Drosophila melanogaster: one gene and its partner. The protein of the gene in region 2 interacts with the protein of the main gene of each other region in a biochemical or structural test. Each region holds a gene or a part of one and is shown on either strand. Other genes may lie near its edges. The genes, in order: WASp and nwk.

Evidence for each region.
Region 1: of the proteins of nwk (region 2) and WASp, one has a biochemical effect on the other in vitro, tested with the Drosophila melanogaster proteins (one study listed by BioGRID).

What each region holds. Positions count from the first base shown.
Region 1 is NT_033777.3:28,830,027-28,833,950, forward strand, and holds the start of WASp (WASp), read right to left. Parts: upstream 1,999-3,924; 5' UTR 1,792-1,998; intron 1,288-1,791; exon of another isoform or gene 1,193-1,287; intron 1,115-1,192; exon of another isoform or gene 968-1,114; intron 652-967; 5' UTR 593-651; coding exon 476-592; intron 1-475. Other genes in the region: Apc (APC-like), read right to left, coding at 3,209-3,924.
Region 2 is NT_037436.4:9,135,873-9,139,796, reverse strand, and holds the start of nwk (nervous wreck), read right to left. Parts: upstream 1,938-3,924; 5' UTR 1,908-1,937; exon of another isoform or gene 1,833-1,907; intron 1,216-1,832; 5' UTR 1,121-1,215; coding exon 1,100-1,120; intron 1,025-1,099; coding exon 795-1,024; intron 705-794; coding exon 177-704; intron 1-176. Other genes in the region: Use1 (unconventional SNARE in the ER 1), read left to right, coding at 2,694-3,045, 3,140-3,496, 3,896-3,924. UniProt on the Drosophila melanogaster protein: Adapter protein that provides a link between vesicular membrane traffic and the actin assembly machinery. Acts together with Cdc42 to stimulate actin nucleation mediated by WASp and the ARP2/3 complex.

The DNA of each region.
Region 1 (3,924 bases), on a different chromosome or scaffold from region 2:
TATAGTACAGAGAACATTAATCTAAATGGTTATCTGCACTGACTCAAGTAGACTTTCCAGCAAAAGAGTATGTCTTTCAATCAAAACCAAAGCTAATAATGTGTACGATACTCCCATGCAAGTTTTATAGCTGACCAACTAACTATAGTGCATAGAACTCTAATTTTGTTCACAGTTTAGCTTCCGGTGCCATCTTTAAATGGGCAAAGAAACCATTCAACTATGTTGGGCAGTGTGCAAGTGAAATTTGGTAAATATGACAGGCAGCTGCCCGTAGACCGTAGAATGATATTATGATATAGGGTTACTGTGCTTCGAGTGAAATTCGCACACGATGGGCGACACTTGAGCCGCAGGAAGTGCTTCATCAAGCCGTGGGATTTGCTCGGCGAAGGCGGAGGAACACAAACCATGTCATTGCTTAATTATTAATCACCCGATTGGGGGCATTATGCATCATCAGTACTCGACTCACCTGGCACTTCTTGCCCAGCAGCTTGAAGACGGCCTCATTCTCCTCCTGGGTGAGCAGCGTACTGGCGGCATTGACCTTCGCCCGTGGACCGTCCTGCGACCTCATTCCGCTGCTCATCTGGCCGGTTTCGTTGGATCTGGGTCTGGTGCTGGATATGGGGATCTGGGCTGGTTTCCCTGCACAATACGGACACAATACGCATTTTATTGTGTGGCGAAAACAATACGCAAATGAACAAAAGCTAAATGTATTAATTTAATATCACAAAACGCTGGGGACCCCGAAAAAGTAAAAAGTTCATAACAATAAAGGCACACGGAGTAACAGTTGAACTTCGATAGAGTGAACAAAAGTTTGGGATCGTAGGGTTGACGATACAATATGAAAAGTTTGAGCTCCCATAAATATACTAAAGAGTTCAGAAACTGTATAATATTTAACGTTTAAATGAATTATTGCAGTCAACGCCTTCGAATATAAAAAGATAACTACACTTGGATAGGCTGCCTATTTTTTTGTACAGTGTACAGCTTGTAAAAACTCCGATCTACAGAGAGTTTGAGCAACGGAGTCCGAAGTGTGTTGCGAATAACCCGATTTGGGATCGAAGAATTATGGTTTTGGGACTGCTGAATCGATTGACAGTATTGTCTTTACGGTTTTGAATGGTTTTCAGCCCGAATTACGGCCAAGAGCGCGAGCGAGAGAGACCGAGACCTGCGCTGGCTATGACGATGTAGCTGGTTATGGTGTCGGCGGGGCTGCGAGCGGATCGCCTGGTCTGAGTCACGGTGCCCGAGAGTCGGAAATCAGAAGCAGAAACAGAAACAGTCAGCCAGCAAGCCAGCCAGCTGCGTTTGAATGTGGGCAAAAGCCAGGCCAGTGGCAAACTCTTCGAAAAGAGCCCTTATCTTTGGCGAAAAGCACTGATTAGGTGTGCGCATGTATCTATGTGTGATACATGCACAGTGGTCTGGGTTACTCAACATTCGGCACTCGCCACAAGCCACCAGCCAATCCACCCCACTGTGCGCCACTCCGTAGCTCCAAGATTTGTGACAACACCTGTCCGTCGTCGCGCCAGGTGGGGTGAAAATGCAAATGTAAATAGACAGACGCTGCTGCGGATTGGGAGTAAGTTCATGGGTTGGGTTGGTTCGGCTTGGATGGGATGGGATGATGTGCTGCCCTACTCAAGGTCTCGAATTTCCCTTGTGAGCTGCTCTGCTGGGGGGGTCGCCCATTGATTTTTTGCGTTTATTTTCGTGCACTGCTCTTCACTCTTTCGTTTTTTTCCCACACACAACACAACACACCACAAAATCTGTGTAGTCTCTGGCCTTGCGGATTCCGGGACTCTTATCGGGAGGCTCTACTGTGCGCGCGTCCGCGTCATCGAGTGCATGGCGTTGAAAACGAGTGTTCCTCGGTTGATTATTCGTCTGTTCCCGGACGCAATGCTAGTTTGTTTATTCATTTATTTTTTTTCACTCCAATTCAATTGCTGCCAGTGTGACCGACCGAAAAAGGCGATAGGCTAAAAATACTATCCTTTCGATAATTTCCTAAAATATGCATCAAGCTCTGCCAAGGCCCTGTGCAGACCATGCTCGAGACTTTTCAATTTTGCCCATCACTAGTTCCGCTTAAAAGTTTATCAAAAAGTTTCAGGCAATTCCGTTAAGAAATCGCGAGTGGAGAGCTGTGGGAATAGTATATTTTTTCATTTATGTTATCTTTTCCGTTAAATTTGATTTTGTTTACCACGCCCGTAAATTCGAATAAATATTTGTTCATCTGGCTTTCAAAATATGTTTTATTTTGATATAAATTATAATCGAGTAAATTCACATTGGTTTAATTTTTTGCTGACAAAAAGCATATTTCGATTTATTCATATTGAAAATGGTTAATCGCATTGAATCGGTAAAAACTAAGTCGCAAATGATGAGCTTAATGCATAAGCTGTTTCCTAAAACAGTTACCCTTAACTTGCTAAATTATATAAAAGAATACTTAAAAAGCAGTGACTAAAAAATGTGAATTTCTTCTCTCTTCAGATATTTGGTGTTTGCATAAGGAAGCCAGGGGCATATTTTAAACTTAGAGTATATTCTCAATAAAGATGTGCAACTATATGATTGTAATTGATTTCAGTAGCTCACCAGTTGGAGGACAGCTCATCTAACTAAGTGTTAAAAAAGTTAAATCAGAACAGACATTCGACTTGGTAAACCTTTCCTAGTTAATGCGACAATCGAATATATAGCATTTATATATATGCCAGTATACATTTTGTATATATTGGGTAGTTGTACACATGTTGAAAGGCCTGATTTTGTGTATATATATGCAATACATTTGGCTACACACGATCGGGAGCATCGGGAGCTTCCTTCTCTGACTGTGATTTGGATAAGTTGAAGTTACTAGGAGTTTGCGCTAACTCTATGCTAAACTGGTTGCTTACAAAGTTTTAGGGTCTACGTATAATGTATAAAGTAAAAGGAGAGTAAAATATGGATTACATAGCGTATGTATATTAACTCCTATCCTAAAAACTCTTTGATTTTGACTCTGACTCTAGCTCGGCTTGTGGATGTGGACCTGTGCGTGTTCGGTTCCTAAAAAATGCTTGACAAATACAGTCCTGTTCCTCTTACAATCTCCACTTCCGTTTTCGCTTTAACTTGGCTAATTTGTGATCCATACTATCCTGAACAAATTAACCCTCTATTTCCGCGCGCCCACCACTGGCAGCTTGGACTTGACTCCTCCAGCGGTGCTGGGGGTATTGTCAAACGTGGAGCTGCGCAGGAGCGTCGGCTTGGTTCCATTTGCGTTGAGCATGTTGGAAGATTTGGTTTTCTGCGTCCTCAGGTTGGATGACGATTGCTTGGTTTTGGCCTCGTCCACTCTCTTCCAGATGTTGGCGATACGACTTTGCGCATGGTTGATCTTGGCCGCAGCTGCTGCGGCTGCACTGCTTCCATTTAGGTTGGAGTTGCTGCGGGATGGTGGAGTAGTGGACGACACGCGGCCGGAGACCACACGTGAGGCAGCGTGAGATTTGCCCGCAGCTAGTCGCAGACTGGTGTTTGCCCTTTGAGGCGTCATTCGGCGGGCCGGCGCCAAGGGAATCCTCTTGGGAGAGCCCGCTTTCGATGGTGACCCACCGCTGGCCGTGCCTTTCTTTGTGGGTAACTTCGAGGCGCGGTGAGTGGGACTGGTTTGAGCCGGTTTTGTCTCCACCACGGGCACTTGAACATTGGAGTTAGTGGGCTCGTCCTTGACAAAGGTTCCCTGGCGTTCCAAGCGTGCGGGTGCCGGCTCAGGCGGCGGCGTCGGCTTCTTTTTCGCTGGTAACCTAACTCCTGAACCGCCGGGCACCAGACTTCGTTTGGCAATTGTTGGAGATAGGGTTTTCTTCTTGGACGGGGCGGCATTGT
Region 2 (3,924 bases):
TTAATAACTTTATGAGCCATATCAGGTAGCGCCATAAAAATTATCAGAATGTAATTGACGACTTGAGCAAACATTGATTAGAAAATGGCTTTGAACTTGTAAAATTTATAATTGATTTACCGATTTTGCACTTCTGGATGGTTTATAATTTATGAGCAATGCCATTATACACTTACCCCATTAACATCAGGTACTCGGCAACCCGCTCGAAAACATAGTTCTCCATGGTGGTCATCGTTGTCTGCAGATCGACGGTGAAGTAGCGATTCTGATGCGCATTGGCCGCCGCCAAGCTGAGTACGTAGTCATTCCGGGCGCCAGATGACTTCTCCTCCAGCAGCTCCTTGCGAGATGTGACCCGGGCGCTGTTCTTCTGCAGCGAAGTGATTGATTGAAAGAAGGAGCCCTTCTTCTTCTTAAGCTTCTCCTCGATATCGCGGGCCTTGTCCCGAACATCGTGAGCACAATGCTCTTCGTCAAAGTATGATTTCTTGGTCTTATCCACATCGCCCACGCTCAGATGGAGTTCCTTCTGCACATTGACAATTCCGGCTAGCGAACGCTTAGCTATGGCCAACTTATAGTCCCGCAGAACCTTGGCCTCATCCGCGATTTGCTGTTGAAACACCTCTATGGCGGCCAATCGAGCACGAGCCAGTTTCTCATTCTCCTCGAGCACAGTGCGCCAAACGCTCCACATGTTCCTATGAGATTACGTATAAGTAGGTGGGTAATTCAAATTGACTGAAGGTTCTCGAAAGAACGTTACTAGTTAGCTGGAAAGCAATACCCACCAGCGTTCCTCCATGCCCTCCATCTTAATATCTGGTATATTGGGTATCTTCTTGTTGAGATACTGCGATGAGATCTTCAGCAGCGACTCACTGTATGACTTCTCGACAGCGGAACGCTTGATGGTGAACTGCCGGATGTCCTCCAGGAGGTCGCATTCATGCTGATTCTTCAGCTGCAGCTTGGCCACCTGCTCCGTGTGCAAATTCTTGAGGAATTTCACATAGTTTCCCTGCAGGATTACGAGGTATACGATGAATGATTATTGTGGAACTATCTTTATCAATTCGATTTATTTATGATTTACCTTACGCGGCGGCGGCTGCATCATGGGGCTTTTTCTACGACAATCGGGTCACTCTACAATTGGCTTTTTTTTTCTATTTTAGCTCCGACTTAATGGTGTTACATTACCTCTAGCAACTGTAAATAGTATGATTGCTTTATGAGAGGATATGATATACGGGTATTAAAATACGATACGATATTTAAGATCCCATCTTATTTTTTTAATATAAAAAAATTTATATTTCAGTGGCTTAAAAGGGGAGATTTATTTTTAACGCCATGACTTATATCAAAGAATCTAACATTATCAAATTAAAGATTAGATAAAATGTAGCCCTACTGATATTTATTATATATATATATTTTCCGATTATTTTTGGCTGTGTAAATGGGTGGTGTTGGTGGTACATGTGGGTGGTTGTGTGGTCCTTAAGCCGTTAATAGGTTCGCTACGCAGCAACGGGTCTCAAAACTTATGTAACTGAAATGCAATGATAACTGACATCGAAACGCAAAGGAAATCAAGGGTTTTCTTCAAGCTCAAATCTAGTACTATTTTTAGCTGGAAATTTTCACTCGGGCAGCCCACGCAGCAGCCCCCCTTTTTTTGGGGGTATCGTATCGATTTCTCTGGCCCCGGACTAGCTTATTTTTTTTAAGCATTTACACCAACTACGTTATTCAAAACACTTGGCTAACACTTTTTTTGGACATGGCCGGTTAAGATGGTTGTTTTTCAGCTGGATTAGTACTTTTTGGGATTCTTATCGCTGGGTTTTCACTGAAATTTGTGGTCTTTTTCTGGGCAGCTAAAATCCGTTGCTTACTTATCGATTTCGATTTTCACGACGTTTGTGTGAGAACTTTTCAACATGCACCGTTAACTGCTGGTGCTGCTGCGCAAGAAGAGACCGCCAAAGAGAGCGGTGAGAGAAAGTCGAGAGAGAACGAAGTCGTGTTTCATTCATGGCCTCTAGTACCGTTAACAAAGAGGGTGAGTTTTATTGTTTTTGCCCCGTCAGCTGTTTGATAACACCTCACTTGCGTGTAACGGCACTTAAGGAAAATGAAGAAAAAAAAACTACTATAAAAATTCAACCTTTGAATGGTATGCCATTTGATCTTGACACCTGGCGTACGACAACAGCTAAAACAAAAATGTGCGTTTGCGTGAAACTACTCATATGCTGTGGCTATCAAAAACGGTTTAATTGATAACTTCAGATATTGGCCAAGAGGTTTGATAAGATTTTCGAGTCGCGCCCAGAAGTATGCATGCAATAATATAAATGCATTACGTTATCTTGAGAAAGTAGACATAAGCTTATAAATATGGCATATTGGGAACTTGATGTTTTTTTTCAAAAATTTTTAAAAATTAAATTTTAACAGGATTAGAAGATTATTTGTTTGTTATGTTTTTTTTACTTTATACATTTTTACATTCTTACATTTTACATACACATCCTCAATAATTTTTCATCACTACTCACGACAACCTATCGATAAGTTTCTATCGCTAATAGGACCAGCTGCTGACAACAAATAGGTTTCGACCTGGTATTTTAATTTAGGAATTTGTACTTTGTTGTTTTCATGTTTTCAACTTGAAAATGGCCACGAAGCTAAATGTAAATATTCGCACCCTGCTGGCCAACTGCGAGGAACTGGCCAAAAGCGAACAGAACTTCTGGAGGCTGCAGAAGTTCATTAAGTCCCTGGACACAATGCTTGCCGAGCTGGAGGCGATGGGCGATCCGCAGAGTGTCAAACGTATCCCGGGCTACTTGGAGCGCCTACAGGCCCTTAAAATATCCACCGGATATGCAGACGTTCCCGGTTCCACAACAAAGACTCCTTCACAATCCTCAGCCGTCAGCGAAACTGGGGAAAATGCACTGAAAGAAATAAGGCAGCTGCAAAACAGCAAATATCACAACGAACTGCGAAAGGAACTGCTCCAGGGTAATAAAGAATTAACAAACAGTTTTGTACATATTTTAAAATTTCTTAAATTCAAAAATGTAATAGTTCATAACTTAAAAAACATTTATTTTAGATTCCGATGCCCTGCGAAGACGTCGAGGAGCAGATGAATCCTCCTCCAGTTCTGGAAGCGCAAACGTTCAGGAAACTTCTGGTGAAAACATGAACCAGGCTGCCAAGTATTATACGAATGCCCAGGAGAAGATCACCGAGCACATGCTCTCGCTGACTCGGAACTTAAAGGAACAGACGGAGACCGCCAACAGGATTATCCGAAGAGACACGGAGGTTGTGTCGCGTTCCGCCGGAATGGCGGATCGCAATATCAATTCGCTAGGAAAAGAGGCTGAGAAACTGGAGCAACATTCGAAAAAAGCCTACAAGTGCTGGCTGTGGCTGATGATTGCCTTCGTAATTGCCACTTTTATAGGTGAGTCATTGTATTTTGTGGAAGTTTTGTTCAAGCTGCAAAAAAGAACCCCTCTTGGAAAATCCCAATTCATTTACTTAACAAATATACCTTAAGTTATCCAACTCAACAACACACATTTAAACACGTTTATAAACCAAGTTTCCTGAATATGTTAATCACAATATTATAAATATTCATTATAAGAACGAAAACAGATAAATAGATATTAGATTCCATTGCTATTATTATTGTATTTAAACTGAATACGAAAACACTGCGAGTCACTTCACTTAAGCCAAATAAACAAGTTTGCCGTGACTCAGTTTGAAATTACATTTCTTAATTGGTTCGATTTATTGCAGTTCGATTGTTGCTGCTTAATTATACTAATGAGTTTATTACCCTTTCAATTTACAGGTATGGTTTTATTCATGAAGATTATGAAG